Drosophila melanogaster: one gene and its partner. The protein of the gene in region 1 binds, or shares a complex with, the protein of each later gene. Each region holds a gene or a part of one and is shown in the gene's direction. Other genes may lie near its edges.

Evidence for each region.
Region 2: dre4 (region 1) and Ssrp share a complex: the UniProt entries of both Drosophila melanogaster proteins name them as parts of the FACT complex.

The regions. Positions count from the first base shown.
Region 1 is NT_037436.4:1,871,071-1,878,209, reverse strand, and holds dre4 (dre4), read left to right. Parts: upstream 1-1,897; 5' UTR 1,898-2,031; coding exon 2,032-2,100; intron 2,101-2,294; coding exon 2,295-2,558; intron 2,559-2,623; coding exon 2,624-2,923; intron 2,924-2,991; coding exon 2,992-4,169; intron 4,170-4,226; coding exon 4,227-5,093; intron 5,094-5,147; coding exon 5,148-5,410; intron 5,411-5,474; coding exon 5,475-5,628; intron 5,629-5,739; coding exon 5,740-5,856; intron 5,857-6,292; coding exon 6,293-6,449; 3' UTR 6,450-6,636; downstream 6,637-7,139. Other genes in the region: CG13937 (uncharacterized protein), read left to right, coding at 171-318, 383-449, 548-692, 764-919, 1,025-1,362, 1,429-1,522; CG13924 (uncharacterized protein), read right to left, coding at 6,646-7,139. UniProt on the Drosophila melanogaster protein: Component of the FACT complex, a general chromatin factor that acts to reorganize nucleosomes. The FACT complex is involved in multiple processes that require DNA as a template such as mRNA elongation, DNA replication and DNA repair.
Region 2 is NT_033778.4:23,805,573-23,810,909, reverse strand, and holds Ssrp (structure specific recognition protein), read left to right. Parts: upstream 1-1,905; 5' UTR 1,906-2,046; coding exon 2,047-2,100; intron 2,101-2,177; coding exon 2,178-3,749; intron 3,750-3,809; coding exon 3,810-4,355; 3' UTR 4,356-4,549; downstream 4,550-5,337. Other genes in the region: CG5543 (uncharacterized protein), read right to left, coding at 1-1,551; CG5539 (uncharacterized protein), read right to left, coding at 5,081-5,337; CG13561 (uncharacterized protein), read left to right, coding at 4,661-4,714, 4,775-4,930. UniProt on the Drosophila melanogaster protein: Component of the FACT complex, a general chromatin factor that acts to reorganize nucleosomes. The FACT complex is involved in multiple processes that require DNA as a template such as mRNA elongation, DNA replication and DNA repair.

The DNA.
Region 1 (7,139 bases):
AAACAGAGCGGCTAAATAAAATTCAGATAGCCAAATTGATTGCGCATTAGCGAGTCGCATTGGCAGGCATTTGGGCACCCCACCCCCCATTCTCTAGCCCCATTCCGGTCGAGAAACCCATGTACTGGACTCACTGTGGCTCACCTTTCGCATATTTGCCCTCCAAACAGGACAGCAACCAGACACTCCTGCCCCTCATCCCCGAGCATGCCGTGCAGACACTCACGCCGCAGGAAATGCTCCAGGTGGAGCAGCGGATGGACCAGCGCAGGGAGCGGCTAAAGGACAAGTGCTCCGCCTACGGCCTGGATGTCCTGGGTGGGTCCTTCGCTTTGGATTCGCCAAATGGATTGGGGTCTGATCGCTTGTGTTTTATTTACAGGTCACGACGCGTGGCACACGCCGAACACGTGGGAATTTTTGGTCAACAAAAAGTATCACATTATCTGGTGGGTGTGCCCTTTATTCACTCTTCAACGATTCCATTTTAGTGTGTCATTCGGATTTGACAAATAGGATCTTAACTTACTATTTATTTTCCGTGCAGGTGCAATGTCTTTAAGGCTGCCTCATCGTCCTGGATGTTCAACTTCAACGTCCTGGCCGGTTACTCGCCCAGCTATCTGCGCAAAACCAAGAAGATCCTTCTCAACCTGGCCAGGGAGCGCTATCCCAGGGTGACCCTCGACGAGGTGCGTCTCGAAAGGAGTTCTTAATCCCCTTCCTCAAACCTAAATTAAACTCTTTCTATTTCGGGCGACAGCTGCGTGAGGCACAGAACTACTCGGTGACCTTTATCATCGCACGCGATCCCTTCGAGCGGCTGTTGAGTGCCTATCGGGACAAGATGGTGTTCGCCCTGCCCTACTCCTTCCACGATAAGTTGGGACGCAGCATTGTGCGCAACTACCGCAAGAAGGTAAGCATTTCGACTGTAACCCACTGCGTATACACGATATTGTTGCAATAGCAATATCAAGTATACGCATCGAATGCATCTAATACATTGTATTTTATCCAATAGCCGTCACTGGCTGCCCGTGCGGCCAACACAAAGTTCCCATCGTTTCCGGAATTCGTGCACTGGCTGCTCGACCAGGTGAAGCGCGGCAGCTTCATCGACATGCACTTCGTGGCGGCCACCTCGTTCTGCACACCCTGCCTCATCCGGTTCGACATGATACTGAAGTTCGAATCGCTGGCGGAGGATCAATTATATCTAATCGAAAAGACTGGCCTCAAGCGGGTGATAGCGCCCGTGTGGCGCAACATGGGCAAGGGCCGCAAGACGCACGAGCTCCAGCAGCAGTTCTATGCGCAGCTGACACGCCAGGAAATGCTGGAGCTCTACGAGTATTACAAGTGGGTCATCCATTTAAATTTTTAGATTATGGTAGCATACTTACAAGTTAAAATTCCTCCCCACAGATACGACTTCGAGCTGTTCGACTACGATATCCAGGAGTATCTGCAGGTTGCCCGGCCGGATGAGGCCGAAAGTCCGGCGGGCACAAAGAATTAAACTAGCTCTGAATTCTTAGACTTTGCTAAAAACCAATGAATCAAGTTCAACGAACTCACATATTAGCCGTCACAGTACGTAATTGCAAATGTTGATAATACTGAAGAAAACAATAATAAAATTAGCTATATTTAAACGAAGCCTGTGCCAAAGTCTTTTATTTAATGTAAAAATGTATTTTTGGCGAGACACATTTTTAATTAAATCCAGTTTTAAACATTTTTTTCAGTGCACCAATTTTTAGCGCGTAAAATGTTCATATATGGTTCGAGTCCCTGCTAGACGTGTCTGTACTGTTGCTTGGTTACACTATTTTTACATTGACAACTGGTATATTACGGTATTTTTGAGAGCGGTCTCACTCACGTCGAGCTGACGCTTATTCTGCTTCTTCTTCATCTGGTCGCCGCGCAATTTTTTTATCCGGCGGAATTTGCAAATGCAATTTCTGGCGTTTAGCGCATTTTAAGCGGAGTTAACGCATACACAGTAACAAATCCGGCGGCAATATGTCGAGCTTTGTGCTGGACAAGGAGGCGTTCGTGCGCCGCGTGAAACGCCTCTACACGGAATGGAGGGTGAGTCTGTCCGCCGGTCGGCGATCTGCGTGTTTTTGGGGCCGCAGGAGCACCGGGGAGCACGTGGAGACTCTGCAGACGGGTCACGATAATGAAAGATTGGGAGATGTGGTGAAATTAATTACCCATAGACCAGGTTGTTTGGGGAAAAGAGGATTACTGCATAATAATATCGGACTCTTTGTCTTTCGCAGGCTCCCAGCATCGGACACGATGACGCGCTCAGGAATCTGGACTGCATCATGAGCATCGTGGGCGTCGAAGAGGATGTCATGTACTCCAAGTCCATGGCCCTGCAGCTCTGGCTGCTGGGCTACGAGCTGACGGACACCATCTCAGTGTTTTGCTCGGATGCCGTGTATTTTCTCACTAGCAAAAAGAAAATAGAATTCCTGAAGCAGACGCAGAACATCACCGAAGAAGGTTTTCCGGAAATCAATCTGCTTGTTAGGGATCGGGTGAGTTTCGATTTCTGCTCCAGGCCAAAAGTTCTCTAATCCTTTCTGATCTTGACTTCGAGAAGACGGACAAGGACCAGGGCAACTTCGAGAAGCTCATCAAAGCCCTGCAAAACTCGAAGAAGGGCAAGCGTTTGGGCGTCTTCGCCAAGGACGCCTATCCCGGGGAGTTCAGCGAAGCATGGAAGAAATCCCTGACGGCGTCCAAGTTCGAGCATGTGGACATTAGCACTATTATCGCCTACCTCATGTGTCCCAAGGATGAGTCGGAGATCAACAACATACGCAAGGCATCGCTAGTGTCAATGGACATTTTCAACAAGTATTTGAAAGATGAGATCATGGACATTATTGATTCGGATAGGGTGAGCACCTGGCGGCTATAATATTATGTGTTTTCCTAATATATTAACCTTTTTAACCTCCTTTTTAGAAAGTCAAACACAACAAGCTCTCAGATGGCTGCGAGGCTGCCATTGGCGAGAAGAAGTACACCAGTGGTCTGGATCCCAGACTCCTCGATATGGCCTACCCACCCATCATCCAATCGGGAGGAGCCTACAGCCTGAAGTTCTCCGCGGTGGCGGACAAAAATCCCTTGCACTTCGGTGTGATTGTGTGCTCCTTGGGCGCCCGCTACAAGTCGTATTGCTCAAATATATCGCGCACCTTTCTGGTGAATCCCACCGAGGCCATGCAGGAGAACTACACATTTCTGGTAAGTGTGCAGGAGGAGATTCTCAAGCTGCTGGTTCCGGGCACAAAGCTGTGCGACGTCTACGAAAAGACCCTGGACTTCGTGAAGAAGGAGAAGCCGAGTATGGTGGACAATCTGCCCAAAAGCTTTGGTTTCGCCATGGGCCTAGAGTTCCGGGAGAACTCCATTGTCATCGGACCCAAATGCCAGGCGCTACTCAAGAAGAATATGGTCTTTAATTTGCACGTGGGCATCTCGAATCTGACCAATCCCGAAGCCACCGACAAAGAGGGCAAGAACTACGCCCTCTTCATCGGAGACACTGTGCTAGTAGGCGAACAATCCCCAGCCAGTGTGATGACTCCGTCCAAGAAGAAGATCAAGAACGTCGGCATCTTTATCAAGGACGACAGCGACGAGGAAGATGTGGACGACAAGAAGACCGCTAAAGAAGATCAGGGCACCGAGATCCTGGGCCGCAGCAAGCGCAACGCGGTGCTGGAGTCAAAGCTGCGAAACGAGATCAACACGGAGGAGAAGCGCAAGGAGCACCAGCGCGAGCTGGCTCAGCAGCTGAACGAGCGCGCCAAGGATCGGCTGGCCAGGCAGGGAAACTCGAAGGAGGTCGAGAAAGTGCGCAAGAACACCGTCTCCTACAAGTCCATCAGCCAAATGCCGCGCGAGCCGGAAGTCAAGGAGCTCAAGCTTTACGTGGATAAGAAGTACGAGACCGTCATCATGCCAGTGTTCGGCATCCAGGTGCCGTTCCATATATCCACCATCAAGAACATCTCGCAGTCGGTGGAGGGCGAGTACACGTACTTGCGTATCAACTTCTTTCATCCCGGCGCCACAATGGGTCGCAACGAAGGCGGACTCTATCCTCAGCCAGAGGCCACATTTGTCAAGGAAGTGTAAGTATAGTGCGAAATCTGCTTAAGGAATGCACTAACTAGACACTTTTCCTGCAGTACATACCGCAGCTCTAATGTTAAGGAACACGGGGAGGTGGGAGCTCCATCCGCAAATCTAAACAATGCTTTCCGGCTGATCAAGGAGGTGCAGAAGCGCTTCAAGACCCGCGAGGCTGAGGAGCGCGAAAAGGAGGATCTTGTGAAGCAAGACACACTCATTCTGTCCCAGAACAAGGGTAATCCCAAGCTGAAGGACCTATACATTCGGCCCAACATCGTGACCAAGCGCATGACGGGCAGCCTGGAAGCGCACAGCAATGGATTCCGCTACATCTCCGTGCGCGGCGACAAGGTGGACATCTTGTACAACAACATCAAAAGCGCGTTTTTCCAGCCCTGCGATGGCGAGATGATCATTCTTCTGCATTTCCACCTGAAGTACGCCATTATGTTTGGCAAAAAGAAGCACGTGGATGTACAGTTCTACACGGAAGTGGGAGAGATCACCACGGATCTGGGCAAGCACCAGCACATGCACGACCGCGACGACTTGGCTGCTGAGCAGGCAGAACGTGAGCTGCGGCACAAGCTCAAGACTGCCTTCAAGAGCTTCTGCGAGAAGGTGGAAACCATGACCAAGTCGGTAGTGGAGTTCGACACGCCGTTCCGTGAGTTGGGATTCCCTGGAGCACCCTTCCGCAGCACGGTGACGCTGCAACCCACCTCGGGCTCCCTGGTCAATCTGACGGAATGGCCACCATTTGTCATCACGCTGGACGATGTGGAGTTGGTGCACTTCGAGCGCGTTCAGTTCCACTTGCGCAACTTCGATATGATATTTGTGTTCAAGGAGTACAATAAGAAGGTTGCCATGGTGAACGCCATTCCTATGAACATGCTGGATCACGTGAAGGAGTGGCTCAAGTAAGTTCATCTGCCCATTTGCAAAATGCACTTTTACTAATGAGTATCCTGTAGCTCCTGCGACATCCGCTATTCGGAGGGTGTTCAATCCCTGAACTGGCAAAAGATCATGAAGACCATCACCGACGATCCTGAGGGATTCTTTGAACAAGGCGGCTGGACATTCTTGGACCCGGAATCGGGCAGCGAAGGCGAAAACGAAACCGCCGAATCCGAAGAGGACGAGGCCTACAATCCCACCGACGCCGAATCGGATGAGGAGTCGGACGAAGATTCCGAGTACTCAGAGGCATCAGAAGACAGCGAGGAAAGCGATGGTATGCACAAACCCAAAACATTCCATATCTTCTAGTTGGTTAATATTTTCATCATAATTTACAGAGGACCTTGGCTCTGATGAGGAATCTGGCAAGGATTGGTCCGATCTGGAGCGCGAGGCTGCTGAGGAAGACCGCAACCACGATTATGCCGCAGATGACAAACCACGCAACGGCAAATTCGATTCGAAGAAGCACGGCAAGAGTTCAAAGCACAGGTATGAGCCACGATCCCATCATGGACGGGTTTCCATTAAGGGTTACCTTATCCGAGATCTCCTTTCTCTTATCTATATCAATCGTTCTACAACATTTTACGTCCACCACAGTCGCCGCGACCGCGAGGAGGCTCGATCGTCGTCGCACAGTAAAAAGCACAAGTCGAACTCCTCCTCGTCCTCTTCGCATTTAAAGTCCTCCAGCTCCAAACATGGCAGCTCATCTAGGTTTGTTATCGAAAGCCCCGAACACTTAATACCCAACCATACGGCCTAACGCAAGTGCATTTCACATATCATTTTTCACTCACAAACCATTACACACTGGAAGTTTCGTTATAAATTTGATTTTCTTCTTTGGTGGAACAAAAAACCAAGCAATTGGACGTTTTTAAGAGTTATTTTTTGTTGATATTATTTATTTCTGGTGTTGGCTTGGCAAGTTTTGGATAGGGATACCCCAAATTCCATCCGTTTACAACCACTTTCTGTTTGGGTTTATGTTGAATTATTTATGATTGTTCAGTCTGGCAAAATTGATAAAAAGAAAGAAAAAAAAAGAACAGCATCATAACTCGCTTGCTCAAAATTGATAACCACAGAGGAGTAATTATTTGTGAAATTTCTTTTAACACATTTCCAAATTCCCTTGATTATTTTAAAGCCCGTCGAAGTCGTCGAAGGACAAGTACAACAGCCGGGACAAGCATCATTCCTCCTCATCGTCCGGAAACAAGAGCAGCAGCAAGGACAAGGATCGCAAGCGCTCGCGGGATGACAGTCGCGACAATGGGCACAAGTCGAAGAAGTCGCGACATTAGGGAGCTGTTCCTGTCGCCAAGCCTGTGTGGCACTCCGTTCGTAATCTAGCTCTCCTGTTACCATTGTCTATCTGTTAAAGGACCCGCCACCCCAATCCCCCGTCACTCATTTTTGTCACGCTTCAAAAGTTGTATTACAAATTAAATATAATACGATACATTAATATAATAAACTAATGTAAGAACTACATTACTCCTACTTGTTCCAGCTGCCGAGCAGATGCCGATAGGCGTGCACCTCCACTTCCCCGCTGTCGCGCCGCCGCCTTCGCCGTCCGCCGCGCTGCTCCTGCTCCTGGTGCAGATGCGGATGAGCTTGGGGATGCTGGCGCGGACTTCCGGCGGCGGCCACACTACCCCGCCTTTTGTGCGCATCGAACATGTTGCGGGTCTTGTTGATCGGATAGCGCATCTTGTTCTTCAGCCAGGTGGTGAAGGCGCGCTCGTTGTCCTGCATCTTCTTCAGCTCCTGCTCGTTGCGATTGATGGTCTGCTCCATGGAGAAGCGCTGCTTCCGCCGCAGTTGCTGGTCGCGCCGCTGCAGTTGCTGGGCAGTCAGTCCGTACTCGGACATGTAGCCCGTGTACCTGGGTAGCTTGCCCTGAATCGAATGCCGGTGCTCGCAGCAGATCTTGTAGTTCATCCGCACCGAAGGAGACGTCGTGGAAGCGGAGGCAGAGGATAGAGTGG
Region 2 (5,337 bases), on another chromosome or scaffold:
ATGCGTCTTCACTACGCACAGCTTGGCGCCCCGGATGCTGCGGTGCTCATCGTAATAGCACTTAATGGTTCCATTGCCACAGCTCACGAACAGTTGGTTGAGCTTTGGGTGCCACAGCGTTTTCACCACGTGCGCGTTGGACACGGGAATCCGCTGCACTTCCTCGTAGCTCTTAGTGCTGTAGAAATACAGGTTCGCTTCGGCCTGGCCCTTCGGAAGCGATTCTCCGGTGACTAGCAGACGGTCATCTGGACTAAAGCAGCAATCTGTTGTGTCGTAGCGGGAGAACAGGTTTGTCCAGGTATGCAGCGGCTGTTTGAACTGCCGCAGATCCCAAAGCTTCATGGTCTCGTCGTTGCTGCGAGTGGCCAACTGCTGACCCATGTACGAGAACACAATGGAGGTGATCTCCGAACCCTTCTGATGCGCATCCCTGACGCAGTGCGTGGTGTTCACAAACATCTTGCGCGTGTCCCACGTCTGAATGGAACCATCCACGCAGCCCGCTGCTATGAGTGTGGCGTCCCTGTTAAAGTTGCATGATGCTGCGTTGGTGCGGAGGCCTCCCTGCGCCCTTGTCTTGATCACCTGCAACTGTTCCTTGGACTTCAATCCCTGCCAGATGCGCAGAGTACCGTCGAGAGCTGCGGTCAGGAACTGCTCCCTGTTAAATGGATGCCAGCAGCCGGAGGTCAACTGTGCCACGTGGCCCTTGGTGCGCGACATGTCCGAGATATACTGGTCGCCCTTGCAGCACTCCAGTTTCTCGAATCCATCGCGGTCGAGGACCTTGGCCTGGGCGTTTCCGGAGATGACCAGGATCATGTCGCCGGTCACGGAGTACTGGAGAGAACGTATGGGATGGTTCTCGCACGGCTGCAGTTGCCGGAAGCTACGCATGCTCGAGTCCATGCCGGCGAAATCCCAGAAGCACATATCGTAGTCTATGGAACCAGAGACCAAGCGGGCACCCGAGGGATCGCCAGCCAGGGCAAGGACAGCGCGGGAACCGTGCTGCATCTGCACCTCGTGTGTGTAGGGTATGCGCTTAGCAAGGCTTTGTTCGTCATCTGAATCTTCATCGGACGAATAATCATCGTCATCGGAGTCTTCGTCTTTGGACGATTCCTTCGTGGCTTTCTCCTTGTCTGTGGTCACAGCTGGTGGTAGGGGACCTATTACGTCCTCCTCTTCCTCGTCTTTCTGGTCATCCTCCTTCGGCTTGGACTCCTCCCTTTTTTTGTCCATTCCCGGGCGGGTAACTCTCGCCTTTTCTATCTGCTCGTTGATGTCGAACACCTTGGCCGCCTTGCGACCAAAGCCACTGATGCCCATCACTTCCTTGAGGTGCTGGCTCTCCAGATCTTCGGCCACGTCCTCGATCTGCCGAATCATCTGCTCCTTGTCCATTTTCTTGAATCCTCCGCCATTTCCGCTGGCTTCAGTGGACTCCTTTGCATCTTCCGCCTCGGTTTCGTTGGATCTTGGCTCCGCAGGAGGTACGTTTACATTCAGTTTGATTTTCCCGAAGGAAATTTTACCGCGTTGCATAGTTTTAAGGCCCCACGCTAAGTGGATTTTCAAATTTTTAATTAAAACTATATTTCTCTGAAAATATGCGGTAAATATTTTGTAAACAAGTGAATTAAGTGACCGTTTATATTCGGACTGTCAATTTGGTATTTTAAAAGATCGAGCGAATTGTTATGGTCTTTAAATAAGCTCTGGCTTGCCCATTAAAATTTTTCAATTTAATAATGACTCATATATTGTTCATGTATTGCAAACAAGATATATATAAACAATAAAGGAAACTGCATTGGAATATTAAGAGTTTATATCGATTGCAATTTAAGAATAGTGCACTCAAAAATACTAAACACACATACGGTCACTCTAATATAGCTGACTGGCGTCTAACCTAAAATTAGGCGCGCAGTGTTGTTTTGTGTCTGCCGGAATTATTGTAAATTGGTGACAATTTCGCAAGGCGGCGTAATACATAGTTGATCTATTATCTTGTTACTGGAGAGGAAGAAGTGCAGGATGACAGACTCTCTGGAGTACAACGACATAAACGCCGAAGTGCGCGGAGTCTTGGTGAGTCGCAAAAAAGCCGGCGTATTTTGTCACATTTCGCATGACCGAGGTTTTCCATTTCCCTGCGCGCAAAAAAGTGTTCCGGACGCCTAAAGATGACCGAGCAGAACATCATCTTCAAGAACACCAAGACCGGCAAGGTGGAGCAGATCTCGGCAGAGGACATAGACCTGATCAATTCGCAGAAGTTCGTGGGCACCTGGGGACTGAGGGTGTTCACCAAAGGCGGCGTGCTCCACCGCTTCACCGGATTCCGCGACAGCGAGCACGAGAAGCTGGGCAAGTTTATCAAGGCTGCCTACTCGCAGGAGATGGTCGAGAAGGAGATGTGCGTCAAGGGCTGGAACTGGGGCACCGCCCGCTTCATGGGCTCCGTCCTGAGCTTCGACAAGGAGTCGAAGACCATCTTCGAGGTGCCGCTGTCGCACGTTTCGCAGTGCGTGACCGGCAAGAACGAGGTCACCCTGGAGTTCCACCAAAACGACGATGCGCCCGTGGGTCTACTGGAGATGCGGTTCCACATACCCGCCGTGGAGTCGGCCGAGGAGGATCCGGTAGACAAGTTCCACCAGAACGTAATGAGCAAGGCCTCGGTCATCTCGGCTTCGGGCGAGTCCATCGCCATTTTCAGAGAGATCCAGATCCTCACGCCTCGCGGTCGCTATGACATCAAGATCTTCTCGACCTTCTTCCAGCTGCACGGCAAGACGTTCGACTACAAGATTCCCATGGACTCGGTGCTGCGGCTCTTCATGCTGCCCCACAAAGACAGTCGACAGATGTTCTTTGTGCTCTCCTTGGATCCGCCCATCAAGCAGGGACAAACGCGTTACCACTACCTGGTCCTGCTGTTTGCTCCCGATGAGGAGACCACCATTGAGCTGCCATTCTCGGAAGCCGAGTTGCGAGACAAGTACGAGGGCAAGCTGGAGAAAGAGATCTCCGGGCCGGTGTACGAGGTGATGGGCAAAGTGATGAAGGTGCTGATCGGTCGAAAAATTACCGGACCCGGTAACTTTATCGGACACTCTGGCACGGCTGCAGTGGGCTGCTCGTTCAAGGCTGCAGCTGGATATCTGTATCCCCTGGAGCGAGGATTCATCTATATCCACAAGCCACCGCTGCATATCCGCTTTGAGGAGATTAGTTCTGTGAACTTTGCCCGCAGCGGCGGATCCACGCGATCTTTCGACTTCGAAGTGACGCTCAAGAACGGAACTGTTCACATCTTCTCCTCCATCGAGAAGGAGGAGTATGCCAAGCTCTTCGACTACATCACACAGAAGAAGTTGCATGTCAGCAACATGGGCAAGGACAAGAGCGGCTACAAGGACGTGGACTTTGGTGATTCGGACAACGAGAACGAACCAGATGCCTATCTGGCTCGCCTCAAGGCTGAGGCGAGGGAAAAGGAGGAGGACGACGACGATGGCGACTCGGATGAAGAGTCCACGGATGAGGACTTCAAGCCCAACGAGAACGAGTCCGATGTGGCCGAGGAGTATGACAGCAACGTGGAGAGTGATTCGGACGATGACAGCGATGCTAGTGGCGGCGGAGGCGACAGCGACGGCGCCAAGAAAAAGAAGGAGAAGAAGTCCGAGAAGAAAGAGAAAAAGGAGAAAAAACACAAGGAGAAGGAGAGAACAGTGAGTAATGTTTGCTTATTATTATAGCTTATGGTAACATGTTTTTATATGTTTTTATAGAAGAAACCCTCCAAGAAGAAGAAGGACTCTGGCAAACCCAAGCGCGCCACCACCGCTTTCATGCTCTGGCTGAACGACACGCGCGAGAGCATCAAGAGGGAAAATCCGGGCATAAAGGTTACCGAGATCGCCAAGAAGGGCGGCGAGATGTGGAAGGAGCTGAAGGACAAGTCCAAGTGGGAGGATGCGGCGGCCAAGGACAAGCAGCGCTACCACGACGAGATGCGCAACTACAAGCCTGAAGCGGGCGGTGACAGCGACAACGAGAAGGGTGGAAAGTCCTCCAAGAAGCGCAAGACGGAGCCTTCTCCATCCAAGAAGGCGAATACCTCGGGCAGCGGCTTCAAGAGCAAGGAGTACATTTCGGACGACGACTCCACCAGCTCCGACGACGAGAAGGACAACGAGCCTGCCAAGAAGAAGAGCAAGCCCCCATCCGACGGCGATGCCAAGAAGAAAAAGGCCAAGAGCGAGAGCGAACCGGAGGAGAGCGAGGAGGACAGCAATGCCAGCGATGAGGATGAGGAAGATGAGGCCAGTGATTAGGGCCATAAACACAACAAATCAATTCCATAAACACACACCACGCTCCTCACACACCCATGTCCCAAATCTAGTTTACATTCGCCTAGTTTAGTTAAGTGCTGCCTGTTGGATACAGACCCATACGTTTTTGTTTAATTAAAACTCAACAACAATTCGAAAGTTCAAGTAATTAAACAGAATTGATAATTGCCCGTAATGATTGATATCTATCGATTATGGTTTCGCTTGACTGGCTTTTGCCACTTTCGTCAACATTATAATGCCACAGTTTGCCAGTTTTTAATGGCTCTTTGGTGAACTTAGTGATGGCCACGTTGACAGAGTTATTCCTCTTGTTTGGGCTGTGGCACATTTTGCAGGCAAGTTCGACCGTAAGCTAGGCCGGCTGGGATTATGAACCGAACACTAGCTCACTTCAGGTCCAAGGAGTTGCCAAGTTCACAAACATCGAGTGCCTGAGTGCGGACGAAAACTTCACCACCGTTTCCCTGTGCCGATTGTACGCCGTAAAGAGGGATGTCGTCGAAATGAGTCTGCGGGCCAACATCCTGCGATGGCCAAAAGGTCCGGTATCGGTGAGTTAGTTTGCAAAGCTAGGGCGTTCCTGAATGCCATAGTTGAATAGCTATCTATAGTAGAAAATGCGAGTCCAAAACACTAGTAATTAAACAACTTGAAACCTATCCATGCCTAAAACCAATTTATGTTTTGAATTAATGAAATAACTATAAACCTGTTTGAGGTTTCACAAATGATTGTGCTAAAAGACGGCGACGGCTGGCCGGTTGACGCTGCTGACGCACTTCCTGGCCGCTGGTCTCCATCGCCGTCTTGGCCAGCAGATCCTCCACATCGTCATGGAGGTCCTCCAGCTTGGTGGCGGAGGCAATAGCAATGGCATTCTTGAACTTGCGCTGAGGTCGGCGATTAATTATCCTGGGTGATTCCGACGACACGTCGCTCTGGAACTGCTCCGCCTGCA